Danio rerio: one gene and its partner. The protein of the gene in region 2 binds, or shares a complex with, the protein of the main gene of each other region. Links are inferred from orthologs where the notes say so. Each region holds a gene or a part of one and is shown on either strand. Other genes may lie near its edges.

Region 1 (3,831 bases), on a different chromosome or scaffold from region 2:
GCTTCTTTGTATGCATGTCTGTGTTTTGAGTTTGTATGTGTGTGTTTAGTGTGTGTTTGCTTGTGTACGTGTTCATTTGTATGTGTGTGTGTTCGTGTTTTTATCTGTTTGTATGTGTGTTTGTGTGTTTGTATGTGTCTGCATACGCTTGTGTATTTGTTTTGTGTTGCGTTTGGATATGTGTGTGTTTTGTGTGTGTTCGTATGTGTTTGCTTGTGTGTGTGTTCATGTTTGTGCCTGTTTGTATGTATGTCTGTTTTGTGTGTGTTTGTGTGTGTGCATGTGTTCCTGTTTGTATGTGTGTGTTTGCATGTGTGTTTTTGTATGTGTGTATGTATGTGTGTGTGTGTGTGTTTATGTGGTTGTCTCTCGGTGTGTGTGTGTATGTGTTTGTACAGTATGTGTGTTTGTACAGTATGTGTGTTTGTACAGTATGTGTGTTTGTTTGTGTTTATGTGTATGTTTGTGCCCCCGTGCAACTGTGTGTGTGTGTAATTGTGTTTGTGGCTATTTATGTTTTGTGTGTGTGTATACAGTATATGTGTGTGTGTCTATTTGTATGTGTTTTCATGTGTGTTTTGTGTGTGTTTGTATGTTTCTTAGAGTTGTGTGTGTGTGTTTGCATGTGTGTTTTGTATGTGTGTGTTTGTGTTTTTGATTTGTATGTGTGTATGGTTGCGTGTCTTACTGCTGCTGTCTCCATTGAAGCTGCCTGATGCCAGCTCAGGCTCAGTGGAGTTGCTGGAGGAGTGTGATCTGGCGTCCAGCGCGGCGAGGGATTGGAGCATGCTCAGTACACTGTTAGAGGTGGGGAACTGCAGGTACTTCTCTGGAACGTAGCCCACCTGCCCGGTCTTATTCCGCGCCTGCAACCAACAAATGCAACACAACATTTAGAGGCAGACTTTAATGAGGAGACCTAAGGTTACGCCTTCCGTCTGCACACTACACCAGAGATTTTCAGCCCCAAAATGGGAGTGTTTTGGAAACGCTAGAGAGGCCGTTTTGGTTTTAAAATGCTGCTGCTCCGTGTCAGTGTGGATGGGGGAAAACCATAGACTGTAAAAGATGAATAGCGCAAATGAAGCTACAAGTAGGCGTGGCTAACTGTTGCCATTTTGTTAGTGCGTCATTGCGCCGACCGTGGGATACCAAACAAGGGCAAAGAGGCAGAGCTACAGACGCCTGCAAGCATTTTGCTTAGACAGGCTTTTCTTTGGAAGAAACGCTTAATCCTTCATTACCTGCGACTCGTTTGTGTTCTAGCACAATTAAGTGCACACAGCGTGCCACATCATTTGATAATGGTACGAAATAATCCCAAAAGGCAACTGACTGTGTAAAGCCAAATAAAACACAAGAAAAATACGATGAATATGCCGAGTTCAGCAGCTAATCAGCCGGAATCAGCTGAGGTGAAGAGACCTGTCACTCAAGTGGCCACGCCCTTAATTATGCAGACTAAGGGTGCTTTCACATCTGTGAATCGATTCAGTTGTTCCGAAACAGAGATTACAATTGTTACATTGATGCTCTTTGCTCTTGGAGCGGTTCGCTTTCACACTGCAAAGTTTCTAATCGGACCAAAAGAGCTAAAACAAGTCACGTGCGAGTAAACTCTCCTCACATTGGTCAGAGTGTCAGGGTTTATTTTGCAGCGTCCTGCTCAGCTGTCAGGAGAGGTGGTGGTTTGGTGGTGATTGACAGGGTGCGCGCGCTACGTGTCTGAGGAGAGACGCGGTGGGAAGGGGTGAGAAGGGTGCGCGACGATGCCTATTTGAGGACCGGGAGGGAGACGCGAGAATACCAGGAGATCATCAATCGAGCATCCGTAGACTCGCGAAACTTCCCGCCCTACTCATATTTCTCTCTTCATATAGTCGTAAGCCTATTACATATCCATAAAACACTGTGATATAACCGCGCTCGGATCGGATCGCTTTCTCACTGCAATCGAACCGCTCCAGGGTTCGTTCTAATCGAGCCGAGACCACCTCATTCAAGCGATCTCGGAGCGATTACTTTGGCGTGGAACAGAGAGCGATTGCCCTGTTCACATATGCCAAACGAACCGCGCTAACTGGGCAAACGAGACGTGTTCCGAAACAAAAGTGTAGGTGTGAAAGCACCCTAAATATAACCTAATATAAACTAAATGGATGAGTTATAAAAATGCGGACATTTTAACATTAGGGTCAATGGAAATGTGCTCTATTATGGAGCCGGGCCTAGTGGAATTTCAATGAACTGCAGTTACAGTTACTTCTGTATTAGCTTTACGAGGGAGAGCGGGATGTTGCCCCTTGGGGAAAACAGAGACATCTAAAATTGGATATTGAGAATAATATTGAGAAAATATCAAGTTTAACAACTATATGAGGTCTAGTGGTAGATCTCTGATGAACTGTCCGACGTGAGCTGCTCTCACCTAAGGAGCTGTGCTCAAAACACCCACTGACTGCCATGAGCTCAGACGTTGGGTCCCACTTTATATTAAATGTTGCTTATACTTGTGAACTTACATGGTAACTAGGTGTGTATAAGTAGTATGTAACTACAGTATTGAAAGATTATGTGCAGTTTAGTTCTGTTGCATTTACATTGATTAAACTCTGATGTGATATGATGGGTTGACCTGTGCCTCAACCCCCACAAATGGATAGGTGTGAACTAAATGACCCTTTTACAATCTCAATGGGTACTAGCAAAACAACAGCTGAAACATCTGATAAGAGGGTCCTGCTGAGCATCGTAAACACAGAATGGTTTGTATGATTCTAGTATAAAGTACTGTCTCACAGACAGTACTTCGGGTTAAGTTACTTGAAGACTGACGGGTTAACATCACTGCTGAGGAACTGCACTATTCATTGTCTTCAATTAAGTCTTCTCTCCGTAAGAACTTTGGTCAGCTTACTTATTTTATGTATTAGAGTAATCTAATACATTGAAGAGCCACCCAAGAACGGTTAACGCAAATACAGCAAAATCTAACACTACAGTGATGTAAAGTAACTAATCAAAAATACTCAAATTACTGTAACTTAGTAGTTGTTCTCAGAAATTGTAATTTACTAAGTAGTTTTAAAAAATGTTTACTTTTACTTTTCTTTGTGTACTTTTACTCCATTACTTTCCTTCAACTTGCAGACTTTTTTTCTCTTGTCTATGAGGATTAGAAAAATCAGTCCTGTTTTTCCTGTCCAATCAAATCACACATATAAGGTGAATCGCATCATAATGAACAACCTCAAGACATGGGCAATTTTATAATAGCAGCAAACTGTTTGAAAGCATTAAAAGTGTCTAAGAAGATGTTTAAAATCACGTAATGACCCAGTGATTGTTTAGATGCATGTCACTGATGAGAAGATGACGGATGTTTACTGTAAGATGACCAAAATGGCCTTAAACACCCAGCAGGCACAAGACATCAACATGACATCAGATTGAAGTTGTACCCCAACATAGGGGAAACAAAAATCGGGTTGATGTCAGAACCCAATGTCAGGCCTACTGTACGTCAATGTTCAACATCCAACCTAAAATCAACCAAATATCAACGTCTAATGATATTAAAGCTTGACGTTGTGGGGACGTTACCACTATGACGTCTATCAGATGTTGGATTCTGGTTGCCATACCTGACGAATAAATGTCAGTAGTTGACGTCAATATGACGTTGGTTTAAGATGCTGGCTCGACTTTGGATTTTGGTCACTTTCTAACAACCTTTTTTCTAACAATTATTGGACATTAACATAACCTTGTCTTTAGACGCTGGATAGACATAAAATTTTGGTCACTTGACATCACAACCTAAATCGAACC
Region 2 (4,289 bases):
ACACTTGGATATTTCCACCAAATAATGTCAAGTCAATAAACCCTAATAACATATCAATAAATTGCGACGTTTCATACGTGACACTTAATAAAAAAATGACAATGACGTCATGGGAAATTCACAAGGCACAATATTAACGTTTTTTTTTTAAATATGTAAATATAAATTATTTATTTTAAAATAATTAACACGCACACCTGGGGGAAACATTTGTAATAATTATTTTTGTAGTATAATTTCTATGCAAGAAAAAAAAATTCACAGAATAACTTATGTAATAATCATTTATTATTTTATCTTAGGCTTAGCTAGTCCCTTATTAATCAGGGGTCGCCATAGCGGAATGAACCGCCAGCTATTCTGGCATATGAATTTTATGCAGCAGATGCCCTTCTAGCCGCAACCCATTACTGGGATTAGTTGGTGGTTCATTCTGCTGTGGCGACCTCTGAATAATAAAGGAACTAAGCCAAAAAGAAAATTAATGAATTATAGGACTTTGTGACCTGGACGCCCTTCAAAATTGTTTTACAATTTACACATTAGATTGTTGAAATTAATAAAAAAAAACTTAACATCATTAGAAATTTAGAAGCTCCAGTAATTTTAATATTCCTGTGTTTTGCTTTTACTTCAGTTTTTAAATAAATGACAAATTAAAATAAAATAAAACTTAAATCTTGATGTAAGCCATTTTATCTTATAGTGAACCTGATTTTTTCTTACTTTAGAAAATCATCTGGAAATTTACTGAGGCCTTTAGTGGGCCCCAAACACAAAAGAAGATATTCTGAAGAAAGCTGGAAACTGGTAACCGTTGACTTCCATAGTACTTGTTTGTTTTTTTATACTATGGAACTCAATGGTTACCGAATTTCAGCATTCTTCAAAATATCTTGTTTTAAGTTCAGCAAAAAATAAAATAAAATAATAATAATAAAATAAATAAAAAGGGTTTAGAACCAAGTGAAGGCAAGAAAATAATGAGTAAATGTTTATTTTTGGCCAAACTATCCCTTTAAGATTCTACTGTATGCAGTAAACAGAAGCGCTATCGGGTTATTATGCATTTTGACAACCTTTCTAAGGATATCTTTTAAATTTGTTTTTGTTCTTTTTTTTCTCTTTTTGTTTATTGCTAATGCCACATTTATTTATTTATTTATTTATCTTGTTTTCACGTTTTAGGTATTATTATTTTTGTATTAATTACATTTTTATTAATTATTATTATTATCTTGTAAAAGATATAAAAGTGCTATTATTTGCATTATTTTTTATTAATTATTATATTTTTATGAATTATTATTATTATTTTCTTGTAAGAGATATATAAGTGCTATGGGTTAATTTGGGCCGCAGAGCGCCCTCTATGTGCAGTAAACAGGCAGACTCGGACGCCCCAATGACGTCCGCACGTTTCATTTTCCCCCTTTTACTTCACTACTAGCGAAGCTGCACAGAGGAAACGAGGAGCCACACAAGCAGCAGCCAAATAACGCCTGGAATTTACCTCGAGCGTCAAAAAAGGACAGAAGAGCCTCCGCCTGTCACCTCATGCCCCTTTAGTTGATTCCCTCGCAGAGTGCTGGAGTCATAATGGAAACTGAATGATGAGGTAAGAAGACTGTTTTTGAGCTCAGGCCGATTGTCCTTTTTATGACAGTGACTGCGGGAGGAGGAGGAGGAGGAATCTGTAGGATTTCAGGGCGCGCTTCGTCTCCATACACTAGCATATGCTCTGCAACGGTCACTCCAACGGTCATTTCCATTCAGAAACCGCATCAATAAGTACAATAGTCATTTATTCATAAAAACAGGCCTCTGTAAGCTCCCCTTCTCCACGCCGAGATTGCAGCTAACGTTAAACCTCTGCTCTGATTTACTGGTTTAGTTAGCAGTCTTGCTAACGGCTGCTGGTATGTTTTTATCAGTGACAGCAGCTCAAAAACTGCACCTCTGTGGTAAAACACATGGATATAGTGGATTATTAGGACCTCGAGAGGGCTGAGGACATGTGTGTTACATGTAGGATGTAGAAAGAGTGAGTTTGGTCAGTGAAGACCACCAGCTCATCTTCTCACATGGCTGCAGGTCTCATCTGTAGCACTTGCATATGGAGATGCTCAAGTGTGCATGATGATGACGACTCCATCTTTTCTCCAGTGCACATGTGTGTTTGTGTGTATGCATACTAGCCAGGAGAAACATGGGTTATTATCCTGTGATTATGTCTGGTGATTAAGGCTCAGATCCTGTAGTGCAGTCTGGCAGTGGATTTGGGTGCTTTGTCTTTAAGCCACAGTCCTGTATAGTATGTAAACACTGTCAGATTGGAGGGTGGTTTACGAGATCTTATGAGCTGTGCAGCTGGAGACTTTCCCTCAGGTCAGGCTGGTCTTAAACCTGTTCAGCTCCTGGTTTATACACGCGTTCCTTGATCACAGGACTTAAGCGGTAGACTTGAAATGTGACCTCACAAACTGATCTAAGGTTAGATTTTTGGTTGCTAGGATGTACCCGGGTATTCAAATATGACAGGCCCAAGTGCTGTAGAAGTGCAACCAACGTTGATCAAAATTTTAAGCACTATTGAAGAATGTTTTGTGTTTGTAATTGTGTTTAAAGTTTTTATAATATTCAAATGTAAATCTAACATTGTTAATATTAAAATGAAATATGTCTAAACATTACCCAGACTGTCATAGTCACTCTAATGTAAATGAGAAAGCATATCTGCATATTATTATCAGGCTTTTATTGAGGCATGCCAATTTATATTTGTAGATGTATGAATTCATTTACAAATATCAATTGACAGGCCTCCAAAAAGGAAACTTATTTATTAGAGTCTTCAAACAACCAATGAAATAAATAACATTTGGCAGAATAATGGAATTTTATTAGAGGGCCTGAAATTTTTTCTATGCAACCGCAAAATATATTTGGGAGCATTTGTGCGAGTGCATAAAATTGTTATCGTGCTACCAGTTTTCACAGCAAAAAAACACCAAACGCAGCGCTCGGGAATGGTTTAAAATAGTTGACATGTCAACTTGCTGCAGGAAACAAAGCCCCCATTGCTTGTCCCACCTTCAAGCTCTTCTTATTGGCCCACTGCGTTAGAACATAAGGCGATTAGATTGGTTAACATCAGCTCTTAATTACTCAGTTTCGATGACATCGAGATCCAGCCGCGAAAATGTAAAGGTCTGGATACGAGAGAATGAAAACAACACTGACAGATGTGGTTTTAGAAACCACCTAAAGTTACAAATAATGGCACATCTGATTAGTGATCATGTAATGAATGTCAATCCAGCATTTACACTTTTCGACGAGTGGATAAAAGACTTCCAGTGGTTAAAGTCCGCTATGAAAATGACTAAAGCATTCACTGTAGAGCCGGTGGGACTGAGTTTTCAGGGAACAGTCATAATTTGACTCACAATTTTTGGTGGGTGCAACTAAATTTTGTCTGATGGGCCTACATTTTTGAAGTTAGGAGTACCGGTGCTACCAAGGAAAAAGGTTAATTTCGAGCCCTGTATTGGTTGATTTGCTTTTTGAAGTTATTTAAGTAGGGGTTTAAAAGGCAGAAAGTAACTATGTGTCTGTAATGTGGAAATGTCAGTTTGAGGATTTTGGAAATATAAATTGCATTTTTATAAAATCTATTTTCACTGAATCAAATCTAGAATAAGATTAAGAATGGAATGAGATCAAAATAGGAGATTGGGAATCAGAATTGAATCAAATTGGTACATTTAAATTGATACCAAGCTCTACTTTAAATATAGAACACACAACTACTCCACTTTCCTGCAAACAGTGCAAATTACAAAAACTTATGATGATGATGATGATAATCAAAATCAAGTCTTGATTTGACCATAAACAAACATCACACATTTCAGGGTAAGACATGTCAGACGAGAGGTAGCGTTGAAGAGTAAATAAGATACATTTTGGAAAAGGATATTATACATCATATTACATGCACAGGCATAATAATTGCCAAACTCTTAATAATTTTAACAAAACGAGAGGAATTCTTATAAAAATTGCATGTTTTATTTGATACTGTGCTGAATAATCCATTTTATGTAACGAATGTTAACATCTTTGATACTCTTTTAGGTGAAACTGCATATTCAGGATGGTTCTAAATAAAAACAGGCATGTAGTTTATATAAGACCTCTTATTTATGTTTAACTTAAATTCTGCATATGATATGGAAAGTTATATGCAGAACTACACCCTCACTTTTAGTTTGTGTCCTTTTTTA

Evidence for each region.
Region 1: the proteins of itsn1 (region 2) and fchsd2 are in contact, whole or in part, in a crystal structure (PDB 6GBU), measured with the Homo sapiens proteins. The link is inferred for Danio rerio from reciprocal best matches to the Homo sapiens genes ITSN1 and FCHSD2. Residues at the interface, in NP_003015.2 of Homo sapiens: Pro1076, Ile1078, Gly1098, Leu1100, Leu1102, Gln1117, Ala1118, Arg1119, Gly1120, Lys1121, Lys1122, Arg1123, Leu1136, Ser1137, Pro1138; in NP_055639.2 of Homo sapiens: Tyr576, Gln581, Thr582, Asp584, Glu585, Gln602, Asp603, Asp604, Asp605, Gly606, Phe607, Val618, Pro620, Val622, Leu623.

Annotation. Positions count from the first base shown.
Region 1 is NC_133193.1:4,391,571-4,395,401, forward strand, and holds part of fchsd2 (F-BAR and double SH3 domains protein 2), read right to left. Parts: intron 867-3,831; coding exon 689-866; intron 1-688. UniProt on the Homo sapiens protein: Adapter protein that plays a role in endocytosis via clathrin-coated pits. Contributes to the internalization of cell surface receptors, such as integrin ITGB1 and transferrin receptor.
Region 2 is NC_133176.1:50,394,177-50,398,465, reverse strand, and holds the start of itsn1 (intersectin-1), read left to right. Parts: upstream 1-1,442; 5' UTR 1,443-1,618; intron 1,619-4,289. UniProt on the Homo sapiens protein: Adapter protein that provides a link between the endocytic membrane traffic and the actin assembly machinery. Acts as a guanine nucleotide exchange factor (GEF) for CDC42, and thereby stimulates actin nucleation mediated by WASL and the ARP2/3 complex.